Astyanax mexicanus: one gene and its partner. The protein of the gene in region 2 interacts with the protein of the main gene of each other region in a biochemical or structural test. Links are inferred from orthologs where the notes say so. Each region holds a gene or a part of one and is shown on either strand. Other genes may lie near its edges.

Region 1 (6,904 bases), on a different chromosome or scaffold from region 2:
AGAATCTCTCGCTATCTTTAAGAAACTCATGAAGACAGAGCTCTTCAAAGAGCACTTACTCTCTTAACACCTCTAACACACTAACTACTTCTAACCTCATTTCCTTCTTCCCCTCCTTCACTCCTCTATCCTATTATTCCCCTTTGACCTCCTTTTATCCCTATCCAAAGATGTTTTACCTTTAAACTTATTTTACATTGTACTTGACTATTGTAAGTTGCTTTGGACAAAAGCGTCTGCCAAATGTAATGTAATGTAATCTATGTGGAAACGTGCACCCAAAGTGTAATAACGGTGCGTGGCAGTGGACAAATAGCTATTTTATTAAACACAACATGACGAAACTGGACGGGACTTAAATTCAGAGAAAAATAGTAGGTAATTTAGCCTGTAATTTTCACAGAGGACGTCTGAGAAAAATGCATACATAGTCAGACGATGAAAAGAAAATGATCATAAGACCCCTATCCACTATCCAGGAAACCACTTACCTTGAAAAATGAATAGCTTGTAATGAATGAAAATGAAATAGTTATAATCTGATATTTACACTGAAAGCAAACTACATACATTTCATAAAGGGCAAACTAAGGGCAAAACTGTATTATACCATGCCTTTTACCACCTACAGTATGTACCAGCACAGCTAATCTTTTCCAGGGAGTCCCATAAATTATCACCTGACACAGTTCAGGTGCTGCTGCCCTTGATCTGCAGATGCTAGCTGGTATAATTACACCTAATTGTAATTAGAATGAGGGGATATAATGGTGGGGGTTCCAGAAAGCAGATAGCCATGTGAAGACTTGTTAGGCTTCATAGACAGCGCCACGTCTGCAGCTCCAGAGAGCCTGAGTAATTACACCTCCTCCACCACGGCCTGCTCCCACTCCAGCTCACTCTGTCTGCCGCAGCCAGGATGGAAAATGCCACGTTGCATAGCTGCTGTTTTTTCCAGCATTTTCTCATCCAGATGTTTCTCTCCTTACTCGTCCACAGGGCTGGGAGAGGACAGACATTAGCAATCCATAGCAGAGCGGCAATCGGTACTGAACCAGTGTGTGTAAGGCAGAGAAGCTGAAGCTACAGTACATTGAACAGCTGCTGTGATTACTTTAGCCTGATGTACTTTCAGCAACCCACAGTACACACACACACACACACACACACACACACACACACACAGACAGATAGACAGAACAGTAAGAATGGACTGAGGAATTTGATTCTGTGACTGGGATTTTAAAGAATTGAACCACGTAGCATTCATTTTTTAACAGTTCAACCCAAATGACATGTATCTATATCATCTACTGTATGCCTGACAATATTACACACACTTTTATATGAAGTAAAACGATTGCGAGTGTGTTTTCTGAAGCAAAATAAGTTACGATTATTTTAGAAAGAGTCACATGAGGTCATGCGTTTACTCTTTCATCCACAGGGACACTGCTTACAGGCAGTGCTGTCAGTTAATACATGTATTTGACTCTGATTGGACAAGCCGTAATAGAGTTTTCCAGTCTTTTTATTATTTCTATTTGCTTTATTTTCCTTTTGATGGGAGTCATAAGACATTCATTTACCTTACTGAAGCATTGTGTTGTGTTGTTGTGCTTGTGTACACACAGCTTCCCTGACTATGGACAATGCCAGAATTGCTGTGGGGTAATAAAGCATTGTGTGCCTTTAACATAAAGTGCTACTAGATTCTGTATTCTTATCATGAGCGTATCTAGTCCATTTTTAGGGGTGCTTAAGTACTCATAAAAAACCTGTTCCACCACCCCTAGAAGTGAAAGCAAAAGTTATTTTTTTCTTTTTTTTTAAAGAAGTGTGTCTCTGATAAGCTAAAACATTTAAAATCTTAGAAAGTCTATCATTAAAAATAATTTTAATAATGAAAATATAACAGTGCAATATGCCTACCATAAAAATGGTATGATCCACTTTAATTCTACTTTGCCGAGCATGCACGCACACACTGTACTGTTATACTGTATTTATTTTTTTATTTTATTTAGTAAGCTATTGCTTAAACCTGACAATCACCAAAACTCTCCAGTGTTTAAACTGTAGTAAAAGAAGCTAGCTGAGAGAATAAGGTGAAAATAAATGATGGGATTTCATTGGCCAGCATGAGCAGATACCCTGAAATTCCATACTGGGTTTTAAGTAGCTATCCTGCTTTTAACTGTTTAAATTACACCAGTATTTTATTCTCTTTGGTAACACAGATTCCCTGAAGTATTTTAGAGAATTGTCTTGTGATATATTGAGTATTGTAGAATCTCAGGATTGTGATATCATCATGATAATGGACAACATATCATGATCATGTTGTACCATAAGATGCTCTGTGATTCCCACCACTAATTCCAACATACATTAGAATAACCAATAGGAGAGCTTTCTCCACCAACAAACAAAAGCAGCTGTCCCTGTTCATTTAAACTCATTCTGTGGTGTCTTTCTTGCTCTTTTTTTGCTAACAAACTTCTGCACACACAAAGACAGCTGTGGCTAAAAGCTGCTTCTGTTTGTGCTCCATTGTTTAACAGATTCTCGTAAATGTCAAGCAGGAGAATGATGGGGAATGATCTCAAAAGCATCTAGTTGCAGACTTGTAATTATTGACTCTGCAGGATTTTAAGTTGGCAGAGCAATTTTTAATTTTAATTTGCAGAGCAGTGACAGATTGTCAGTCTTTAGTCTTGTACTTTTCCAGTGTAGGTTTGGCATTAGAAGCCCAGCATTGAAATGGAAGATATGTTACAATTCTCACCAAAAACTTTATATCTCTATATCTCTATATCTATCTAGTTTTCCTTTTTTAAAATTAAATATTTTTTTGCATTTTGTTACAATTTCACAACAAACTATCCAACAAAAATGGTACCAAAATGAACAGCTAAAATATATTATATATATATATATATATATATATTTTACATTAACTTTAGTTCGTTAGGAATGTGTTTTGTTTCTTATGAACATCTATTATTTGAACATTTTTGTTCAATATTGTGAAATATTATTTAAAAAAAAAACTATGATATATAAAATACTTATTATAGTCAGATTAGTATATTTTTGCTTGAATTGGATTATTTTGTGAAAGTGGGTGTGTTTTAATATCAGTGTATAGCAAAGTATTGTAATACTCTCTTTATATTATGAAATACAGCATTTGCTCCATTTAGTATGTTTCTTTTAACTGTCAAATTAATATTTTGGAAATATATGGCTTTATTTTAGTGTTAGTAATATTTTATTATATATTTTTAAAATATATATTTTATATTATGATGTTATAAAATTCCCTATTTACTACATTGTGTATGTTCTTTGTTTATTCTGTAAAGTTATAATATGGTAAATTTAGGTTGTTCCAACAGCACTGGTATTGTGAGATACTCCATCACTCTTTATGATTCTTTACTCAAATCAAACCTGAATACCCAATACCCTGAATGCCCAAACTGCTATTTTAGCAATCTCCCAAACATACAACATTGTAATTGTGTATTGCACACACTATTTACTGTACATATGAATAGTATTAGTTATACCTGCCCAAGAGAATTACAATGTTAAATATATCATCAGTGTTAATAGGTACCCTGTTAGCGCTCGTATATGTATACAAACCTGACTAATCCTAAATCCTTTAGCAAGTCCACAACCCCACAGTTAAAACAGCATATTAAATCTACAACTAAATTTACTTTCTTTAAATAATAGTGTTTCCAGGCATTTACAAATAAATGTGAAATTTATTCTGTTTTTCTGTGTGGACAGCAGGCAAACATGCATAGCAGACCTGATTTGCATGGGATTAAGACCCTGTAGCTGGATACATAGAGTTAACTGTGGGACGTCCCACTCCAGCGGAGCTCCAGGAGGGGGGTTAGCAGGGCCAGCCCACTGCAAATGTCTTAGAGAACTTGTGTTGCTGTTAGATAGTTCCAGACCCCTGCACCAGCTGACTTCTCCTTTTGGCTTCTCGGTTCGCCGAACAGAAGGTAAGAACTCTGCACCCCATCATCCCTACCTTTACCTCAGTCTTTGTTAAAACTGCTAAAAGAAGACAAATGTAATTTATTTTACATCACTGATCATCATTTAATGCTTTGTGTAGAAATCAGTGATAGGTCCTAAAAGACAGTCACACATTCTTATACTAAAGTTTTTTTTTTTAGAAATTATTTTTTGTTCTTGCTTTTTTTTGCATCATTATTGCTTTATTATATGTATATATGTATATTTATTATATGTAGTAGATTTTAAAAGGCTAAAGGTGAATGCGTTTTTGGGTCATGTGGGTTTATTTGTTTATTCTAGTGTTACAGATTCAGATCTGATTCATATTTATCTAAATCTAGTTCTGGACTACACTGTTAAAAATAAGGATGCTACAAATAGTTCTATGAATGATGCCACAACAGAACCACTTTTGGATCCAAAAATAACCGTGTTTATATAAGGGATTAATGTAAAAGTGTGGAAAACCTTTTAAATAGGTAAAGAACCTTTATTTTTACATTAATAATGATTCTGTATACACTTCTTGTAGACATCTCTATTACAAACATGATTATTAATGTAACAAAACTGATTCTAACTCAAAGAACCCTTGGTAGTGACTTTATTTTTAATAGTGTATTTTCAGTCACGGTTCAGACTGGACCATGCAGTATGGGACAAGCCTTAATCCCTTTCTTGGGAACCCAGATCCCAGCATTCAATTCACAAGCGCTGTAATAAAGTTGGTAAAGCTTTTCCCCTGCAGAGCTCATCTCAATTTAATGATGACACCCACTTACTTTAAGGGTGAGGAGCACACTGTAGCAACGTATTGTGCCACATAGGCAACAGAAGAGGAGAACACAGAGGTGTGGGGAGAAGGGGGGAGGGGAGATCAAGCTACAAAGCCTGTGAGAGAGAGAGAGAGAGAGAGAGAGAGAGAGAGAGAGAGAGAAAGAGAGAAGGGGGGGGGTCTGTTTTCGCCTCCCCAAGTTCCCTCCCCTCCCCTTCACTTACTCCCATCAAAAGGAATGTGAGTTGCCATGGAAGTTCTCACCAGCTGTTGAGGCCTGCTTAAATTGTACAGATGTCTATTCTCTTGACAAACAAGAACTTCGTGAGAACACACTGAGCATCCACAGCTGCCGGAAGGGCTGCTGTCGTTAAAGACAGAAAAAAAGTTGGCTGGTGGCATAAAAAAAGAAAGAAAAAAAAAAACAGATACTGCATATATTTTAGCAAATATTTTTAGACAGTATATAGTTAGAATAATAGATAAACACAAAAATAATTGATTAACCATTAAAGGTAAACAATTCCTAATTTTGTTTTATGACTATTTTATGCCACTGATATAATTATAATATAATAGCATAGTAGTACATTTACATATTAAGTTTAAAGGGCATACAACTTTTAAATTATAATTTTGTTCAAATAATATTCAGACATTGGAACTGGAATATGAACCTTATATATACATAAAAATATATCTTAATAAATACATTTTTTAAAACTACTTAAAAAATGTCAATATATCCTAACCCTAAATAAACACAATGGGAATTATTGAGGTCAGCGAAAATTGTATTAAGGTCATGTTATCATTATGTAACCGTAAATCAATTATTATGTACTTATTGGAACTGTTTTATGACAGATGTTTAATTTCTCCTACTAATTTATTTTAAAATAGAAAATAAATACAACTGTAAAAAAGTGCAAAAATAGGCTAAAAGTGCCTTGAAAATCCGGCAGGAATACTGTAAAATTTTATTGAAAGTTAAACAGCTTAATCAATTTCTCTACATACTGCTTTGATAATAGAATAAAGATGTTCGCTAAGAGTTCCCACATGTTTCAGAAGCTGCAAAAAGTTCAAAACAAGCCCAGGACACAACAAGCCCACAGAAAAGTGTGGCATCCCTAAAACACTTGAGGAAAAAAACCCTTTGGACAGTCAGCACAGGGCTGTTGCCCATATTCCACCAGATGTCAATTCGAGTGACGCAAACATGTGAATGGAAACATTTAACCAAAGTTTGAGCAGCTTTAGAGCAGCAGTGAGTAAAAAAACAGCAAACAGAAGTAAGCAGCATCAGCCAGAAAAAAAAAACAAAAAAACAAAACAGAAATAGACTCTCAGGGTTGCAGTGGAAGGCCGGGTGAGAAAGAGAAGAAGAGTTGTGGTTCACAGAAAGGAGATCCAATGGGAGTCTGACCAGTAGATAAAGCCAGACACTTGGCATGAAACCAGAGTGAACCCATGATTTATAAACAGTATAAAGAGCACCAACCGACAATCAAGCTACCGTTTAAAAAGCTAGAAAGGTTAGCTGAGGATAATTTAAAGCATTTAATCATGGTAACAAAAACAATTAAGGCAAATCTAAGATGCATCTCTTGATCTGAAGCTTCTTATCAGTGGTCTCAGCTACACATCTGAGAATTTTCCACCAAATTTTGGAGTCATTACAGCTTTAAAATGCTTAACACTAGAACACAAGGTTCTAGTTTAAGGTATATAAAACTGTTATTAAATTGGGATTAAAGAAATGTAGAATTGGCTTATATACAGGGTTTAAGTTAAGGGTTAAGTTATAACAAAACAATTATTATTTTCTGACAATATACTCTGTAATAAGAAAACATGAAAACTATCTTTAGTTAAGATTTGAAAATGTAAGATTTAAAGTAAGATTTTAAGCTTAAAAATATATGTTTCTTAATTAAAATGTAAGAATGTGTGCTTGATCAAATCCGGCATGCTTTTCTATAGTTTAGGAGCTAAACACTGTAATATGATACTTTGGGTAGATTGAGAATTTTCATTTCCACAGACAGTTGTTGTTCTTTTGGCTAAGCTCTACAAACC
Region 2 (8,019 bases):
TGCTAAGCCTCATAAATAACAGCATGCTGCATGTCACATGACCTTTTGACCTGTATCTGTCCCCTGGATCACTAAGTGTGGTAAAAAGCCAAGGGGTCGAGGCTAGGGGGTGTCAGGTCTCATCCACGAGGCAGGATGGAGGGAGGGTTTCATTCATTCATTCTAGCAGAGCCAGGGGCAGGCACACCACACCTGATCAGAAGTTCAGTAGTTTGACTGAAAGCAACTGATTCAACCAGTGCAAACAAGTGAGTGCTCAGGCGTGCTGCAGCTTGATCTGAATGAAAGGCCTGCAGCCAGCCATTCCAGCTGTTCCTTGTGGATAAGACTGGACACCCAAAGTGTACTTTTCAGTGGGGGACTTTTTAGGGGTTCTTCAATTAGAATCTCTGGAGGAACCCCTTATATTAAGGTGCTTTGAGGATAAATGTTTCCTGAAGGTTCCTTGAAGCACTGTTTCAAACTGAAGAACCCCTAAAAGCTCTACAAAGAACCTGAGGCAGCATTTAATTAATCCAGAGAGGGGAAAAAGGAAGGGATCTCCACAAAACGAAGGCCAGACAAATCTGAAATCCGCTTGGAAAAACCGCTGTTGTAATTTTCCCAATTAACTTCCCACGATACAGGCGGGTGGGCGGGGCTTTAGAGCGGGCTTCCGTACCGTCATCAGGGCAGACAGGGCAGCACTCATCTGGGGGGATGATCGGATTGGCGCAGTCGCTGGTGTCCTCGCAGATCACCTCGTCGCACATGACCGTGCCGCTGTCGCACACGCAGATCTGGCAGGGCTCCGGTTTCCACACGTCCCGGTCATTGTAGACCTGGCCGTCCAACGTACAGCTGCTGCCTGTGCCTAAGGACACAAATAAAATAAGAAAAACACGTTAAAGCGTGTTACTTAATTATTTTTTTTTGTAATAAGCGTTCGCAAACACATTTAAACAAATGATTTTGATCATTCTTTAATTTATTTTATTATTTCGTTTATTATTGTTTTGTAAGGCAGAAGAATATATACATAGCTGCCTTACATAAACAATCCCAAATGTACATTATAATCATTAAAATAATAATTAAATAAATTAATAATATATCAATACTATCTATAACATGGATATATTTTTTAATTGCACCAAATTCACAATCATTGCTATCACTGCTCATATTGTTTTTATTTTTAATGCAATTATTGGCGATGATAGGCCTGAAATCAAGAATATTATTCTAGCTATTTATAGCCTATATTATTTTTTCGCAAAACAAACAAACAAAAAATAATTTTCAAATAATTTTAATGTAAAAATGTGAAGACTAAATACGGATAGGAAAAAATGTTTCCGCAAAAAAGGTCTAAAAGTATATTTTCTAAAGCGCAGGGTCCACTTTAACTGCTGATTCTTCTGTTGTTTTTTATTTAATTTAATTTTTTTAAGGCACTAACTGTATATTTTATTTTCGTCCTACGCTTGCACACAAATCTCATCATCTGTTTTTTTTTTTATTATTATTGAGCTCAATGCTCCAATCCATTCAAATTCATTCATCAGCGACTTTTAGCCAGATCGGCTATATGTAATGTCATCATTGTGACTCTTGATGGCGCTCTATCTAACAATGCCTTTCCCTTTTGTAAAGCAAGGGGAAAAGGCTCAGGAGGGAAAAGGTCCACGTCTTTCGGGGTTCACTGTATGTCATAAAATAATCGAAACCCGTCGGCTTGGCAGCAACATGCGTTTTCCCTTAGTGGAAAGTCTGCAAAGCCCACATGTGTTTTACATTATCATAAAAACACCAGAGGCGGGGTGGGGGCTCTGCTGAGGCTGCTGCCAAAAAGCAGGCCAGTCCCAAACCTGATCGCTAGGAGGCGCTGCAGGACTGCAATTGCGCTTCTCAAAGCGTTAAGGACAATTGCAGATGTCTGGACGGGTAGCTCTTTTTGTGTGAAGGAATCTGAAGACAAGAAAAAGTTTCTACCATGTTAAACAACTAATGTTAAGTAGTTCCCCCCAAATTCTAAGATAAATAAATAGCTTTTTAACATCACTTTAGTTTTTTTAATGTTCTGATCTCCTTGTTTAGCATGACATAGTCATGGTCCAAAGATGAGCTCATCACTTTTTCCATGGGAGAAAAACCTAAACCTCAAAAGTTCCAACGAGTTACGTGGTGGATGTCGACTTTAGACTAGTAGAACTAAAGACTCCAAACGAGTCGGGTTTTTTTTTAGCTAAATCAGATTTTTTTTGGTAGTTTCTGGTTTAGATCAAACATGTAAACACTTTATTACAAACAATACACAGCTAAACAACACTGTATAAGCTATAAATCCATATGTGCTTTAGCACTTTTACTTTTTTACTGTTTTTTTACCCCTCTGTACATTATTTTGCAGCTGTTGAACTAAAGCATAGCTCCAGGGCATCACTAATGTTAAGCATGGAGAGTAGCTAAAGGAGGGGTGTTGGGAGGGTGGACGAGTCTCTAAGCCTGTGCCAACTTGCCTCCATGCATGCAAGCAAGCAAGCTCTTGAAGACAGACTCTCAACATAGTGATACTCCTAGTGAATCTCCTGCACCTTCAACTTTCAATCACTGAAGTTGCTGTTCTTCCTCCCCTCATGTTTAAAATAGCATAGCATAGAGATAGATACAAGCTTCCCCAGAGCTTGGCATCCCTGGCAACCCCTCACTGCCCTCACTCTGCCCTTTTTTTTTTTGCTTTTCCCCCCAAAGGCAGCCCATCCTACCCAGTCAAAGTCCTAATCAAGAAGAAAAAGAAGCTGGATGTGAAGATAGAGAAGATACTCACGGTCGTCCTCGCCTTGCCCCCTTGCCAAAAGCACTGTTGCACCGAGCAACAGCGCCAGCCGAATATCCACAAAGCTGAACATGTCTAAATATTAGACATGTAGACTCTTTGAGGCGAGGGAAGTTCTTTTTTAGACTCCAATCATACACAGTAGGGTCCGGTCTTCTCTGACTCCAGTCCAGACCCCAGCAGAAACTCCCTACTGCCTAAACGCACTTTTCCCCCACGCTTTTATACTCCAAACTTTTGGGGAGGTGCCGGGCGCTCCACAGAGCTCAGGCATGTTCCCGTTTAACAGGAGAGGAGGAAAAAAAACGGACCCTCCTTCACCAGACGGAGGGGCTGTCTCCAGAACTCGTCTTTTTCTTTTTCTTTTTTTGCTTGCTTCACCCTAGCATCTAAAGAAACTGGGAAACTTGATCTTTTAGAGAGAAAATCTAAGGGGTTAAGCAAACCAAAAAGCCAGCTTTGGTTCAGTTGGATAGAGGAGGCAGGCAGGCCTGAACCTTCTTACCTTCTTACTTTCTTCTCACCTTATTCAACAGAAGCCAAGATGGGATGGAGTGCATTGTTGTTGTTGAATTTCGACACGTTTATTCTTCTTCTGGGCTCTGCTTGCTTGGTATCAGAATATGCATGGTATGGTTTTGTCTATTAGCTGTGGATGTTTATTCATAAATGCATACATGTGATACATTTATGTCACCATATTGAAAGATTTTGAGATTTAATTTAATCAGTTCAATGACATCTCATATATTTGCAATTGTGGGGTTTCTCAGAGGTGACTTAAGTTTAACCCTGGAATACACAACATTAATAAGGAGCAGTTTCTCAAAGAGGGAAATGATTTATTTTGCCCTTATTTTTAATGCACTCTTTCTGCTATAAAGTAAAATGTATTGTTTATAGACTTTTGTTTATTTATTCATTTTTAGCCCAAATCAACTTGGTATAATTTGCTATGTTGGATTTTAACAGTGTGAAGACTTTTTCATAAAAGGTAAATAGAGTCTGTAAATTGACTTCATTTGGAAGTACACATTTATTCATGGGCTTAATTTCCAGGATCCAGCCTATTTATCAGACCAAGATAAATCCCAAATCTATAATAATAAATTGTATACATTTTTAATGTGGAAAAAACTCAGGCATCTAGATATTAGTCTAATATAGTGCATAATGGATTTGGCTTAATAAACATTTACTCTATAATATAAATATTTTGTCTTTACATTTAATGCAATCATTTTTTTTATTTTAATACCACCAAGAATGAAGCACTTTTTCACTCATACGCCCAGACCTTCTTTATTCCCAGTTCACTCCCAGTTTTCTGCACATAAACAGTCTTCATTTCATCAATTGCATGTCTGGGGGACTGACTGTGTGACTAGGCAGTCAGTCGGTCTACGTGGCTCCAAAGCAGAGCTGCTGCTCCCACATTGTAGACATGCATCATCACATGATACCAAAAATCACTAAAATCAGTTTTAAAGTTAGTTATAAACATATAATATATATATATAGTGAATATAGATGTATATAAATGAAGATGCTGCTGACCCATCACTACAGCCACGACGCAATAAACGCGCACGCGCAGTGCTATTATTAAAAAATAAAATAAAACGCGCGCGAGCTCCTTGGCTTCAGCAGCGCTCCATCTCTCTCTCTCTTCCGCAGACACGTCGCATCTGCGCGGCTGGCCAATCACAGCGCTCCTCTCTCCCCCTCATTCTTCACCCCATCCAAGAATCCAAGACGCTTTTTTTCGCTTAAAACAACGCAGATGAAAGCAGCGCGAGCTTCTCTGAGGGAAAACGCCACCTCATCGCCTTCAGGTGCTTCAGGGTCAGTGTGGAGAGGAGAGCTACTGTTCTGCTCACGTTTACTCTAGTCGTTCAGAGACGTTTAGAGAAGGTGTGAGATGTGTAAGAAATCTTTAGATATGGGAGAAAATAATAAGATAAGTTGTTTATCTGAGCAGAAATGTATTAATCTATGTTTAAGTGTTATCTTAACCATTTCCTATTAAAATTCACACGCCTACAGATACAACACAACACATGGTTCATCAAACCATTTAAATTAACTGGCTACTTCATTACTCAGTTCAGTTAATTTATTAAAGTAAATCAGGTTAGCGGCGGTTCACATGGTAATAAGCAACTAAACCCTATATTTGGCAACTGAAATTATTCGTCAGAAAATGACAAAAAAAAAGCATAAAGCAAAACCAGTGAAAAGTGAAAAGACTGAATAAGTCTGCAGAACACTATTGTGGTTTGTAGTTTTGTCTAACAGTGATTTTTTTTAGTGTTAGGTGTTTAATGTGTATTTTTAAAAATCAAGAAATATATACTTTAGTGCTCATTTATGCATTGGTAAAAAGTGTCAAAAATCTAAAAAACTTTTTAAATCTTTCAGTTTTTTTAACATTGTGTCAAAGTGCCATGATGAGTAGACCAAAATAAATGTTCCAAAACAACTTGAAATAAAATCACATACAGCTCTAGAAAAAAACACTTAAAAACAATGAGTTTCTTTGATTTTACCAAACTGAAAACCTCTGAAAATATAATCAAGAGGAAGATGGATGATTACAAGCCATCAAATTATGCTGAACTGCTTGATTTTTTGTACTAGGAGTGGCATAAATTTATCAAAAAGCAGTGTGTAAGATTGGTGGAGGAGAACATGTCAATGTGCATGAAAACTGTGATTAAAAAACCAGGGTTATTCCACCATATTTCAGATTTCCAAACTTTTAAAACTTTATGAATATGAGCTTGTTTCCTTTGCACCTTTTTTATTATTTCAGGATTTTAAGACTTTACATTACTTATGTATTTCAAGTTCAAATTACATTAAAAGGAATAGTTCATTTTCCATTGACCCCAAATCACAAAAACAATCATGTCAAAACATTTTTCTTTTTTTTGTCTGAGACACTGAAACAAAAAGCTTTTACAGTATAAGTTAATGTATTTATCAATCAAAAGATTGCAGGTTGACTTTGATTTCTCTAATTTAATATTTTTTTCCTCTTTTTTTTCAGATGGTAAGTGGAATTGTTTTTAATTAAAAAAAATAAATAAACATATGCTTATCTGTGTGGTTATAGTTGCTTTGAAAATAAGTTAATAAGACCTTGAAGTTTAATATTTTATTATTCTGATTATTATTTATATAAATATTTGTATATTTTAAATGGAGGATGTGGAAGGTGATGAATTATGGCTGTAAGTTGCCTCTGCTACTCTGCTACATATAGACTGCCAGATTGGTTGGCGTGTCTAAAATATTTAATCTATCTTTGACTATCTGTGAATAAATATGTTTTTGGATATAATGGGAGTGCTGTCAGATTTCTTTTATTTTTGGTTCTTTAAGTTGTCATGGTTGTATAGTACCTTCATTGCCTTTAATAAATTAATAGCCCTTCAACCACCACCACCACCCTCTTTTAAAAAATAAAAATGACCTTGTATGGTAAACACTAGACTAATATTTTATACCATTCCGATTTTCTGGATTTTCTTTTGAACCATTGCTCTGAAAAGAGCTGTAATGAAATTGTTAGCAGCAGTACAAAATATGGGCTTACTTTTTTATAAGCATATATGACAAATTCCTTGTTTGCCACCATGTTTTTACTGTAATGCCAAGAACCATCTTTCTGAAAAATTCAGCTAACAACATATATGTGGTCACATTTAAATTAAGGCGGACATGTAATTTGTGGTTGTGTAGTGTAGGATCTGTACATTGGGTTGTAGATGATAAAAATATCTTTCTTTACAAGTTCTTAGGAACTAAATGGGGATTTTCAGAAAATGGTATAAAATTGCTTCAAGGATCAATGAGTTTGAAGGGTCTACACCTCTTTTTAAAGATCCTTTTTAAAGTCTCTTTTTTAGGTGGTTGTTGTTGGGATGTTGGGTAGGGCTTTCTGTAGTATATCTCTATTTACAGCATCAACCATGAAACCATATCGAAGTTTTGTGCAAGTTTTCTGAAGGTGGTTTAATGAGGTTGACTGATGAATGTGACTCATGATTGTGAGAGTGTTATTTTTTGGTGTTAAACAATTTTGAATATTTCAATCAGAGCTAAAGAAACAGAAGATTTGAAGTGGACAGTGGGGACTTGCAAATGAATGAAAATGGAAGCAGTGGAAGAAAGATTAGTGTGAGTGTTTGGGCAGGGAGAGCAAGGCCTTCTGGGAGCTCGCACATTGTCCAAGACCAGCATGGGCTGCAGGACAGAGAGGGGGCCAAGCAAAACACAGCACAGGGAACTTGGAAGGATTCAACCTGGAGAAGACACTGGGATGACTGGAGAGATAGAACTCCTGAGAGGACTTCGATTATTGGGCTCATAAGGCTTAATTTTAGCAGAGTGGGTTTATTACAGACATGGCACGGCATTAGACAAAAGATACATTGATTTTCTTATCTGTCCAATAAAAATATAAACTTAAAATATGTTTGGCATTAATGATACAGAACATTTCTTCATGCAAACACGCTTTAAGGTGTGCAACAGTTTCTAATAAAATAAATTCAATTCAATTCTCCACACATTCTGTATTGCGGACAGGTCAGGGCTGCAGACAGTTGAGTCTTTTACCCGTAACCCCTTTTTCTGCAGCTCTGCAGCCTTTAAAATGTGTGCAGTGTGGGGTTTTGCATTGTCTTGTTGAACAATGCATGGACGTCTCTGGAGAAGATGTCCCCTTTAAGGCAACATATGTTAACCTAGACTCTCAATATACTGTAGTGTACTGACACATCATACAAAACATACCATGATGACCATTTAAGTCATTGATCTGAAGCTCATGGCTTTAGTTTTTTTCCAAAAAAAAAGCAGCAAAAGGAGCAGAAAGGGTTACTGGCTTTGCTCAAGAGCACAAATAATAGCACAAAGATGAAAAGGTTAATATATTACTTCTGTATTGTGTTCTTTAAACCAAATTGTAACATTCAACAAATACATAGCAAAAACCTTTCAAATTACATTCATGCAAAAACCTTGTATTTCTACTGAATGTAAATATGGCAGTTGTTCTTTACATTTCATTGATTTTTTATGCTGAATATACCAATGGAAATGCTCCAAAAATGACATAAAACAAATTGTATGCAATGACGTCTATTAAAGGTCAAAAAGTTTCTCATTCTCTTGTAAAAAAGAAGGTTTTT

What was found. The genes of interacting proteins can lie anywhere in the genome.
Region 1: the proteins of col1a1a (region 2) and sparc form a complex in vitro, tested with the Homo sapiens proteins (2 studies listed by BioGRID). The link is inferred for Astyanax mexicanus from reciprocal best matches to the Homo sapiens genes COL1A1 and SPARC.

The regions. Positions count from the first base shown.
Region 1 is NC_064417.1:39,221,944-39,228,847, reverse strand, and holds the start of sparc (SPARC), read left to right. Parts: upstream 1-3,888; 5' UTR 3,889-4,028; intron 4,029-6,904.
Region 2 is NC_064426.1:32,891,717-32,899,735, reverse strand, and holds the start of col1a1a (collagen, type I, alpha 1a), read right to left. Parts: upstream 3,024-8,019; 5' UTR 2,892-3,023; coding exon 2,810-2,891; intron 854-2,809; coding exon 662-853; intron 1-661. UniProt on the Homo sapiens protein: Type I collagen is a member of group I collagen (fibrillar forming collagen).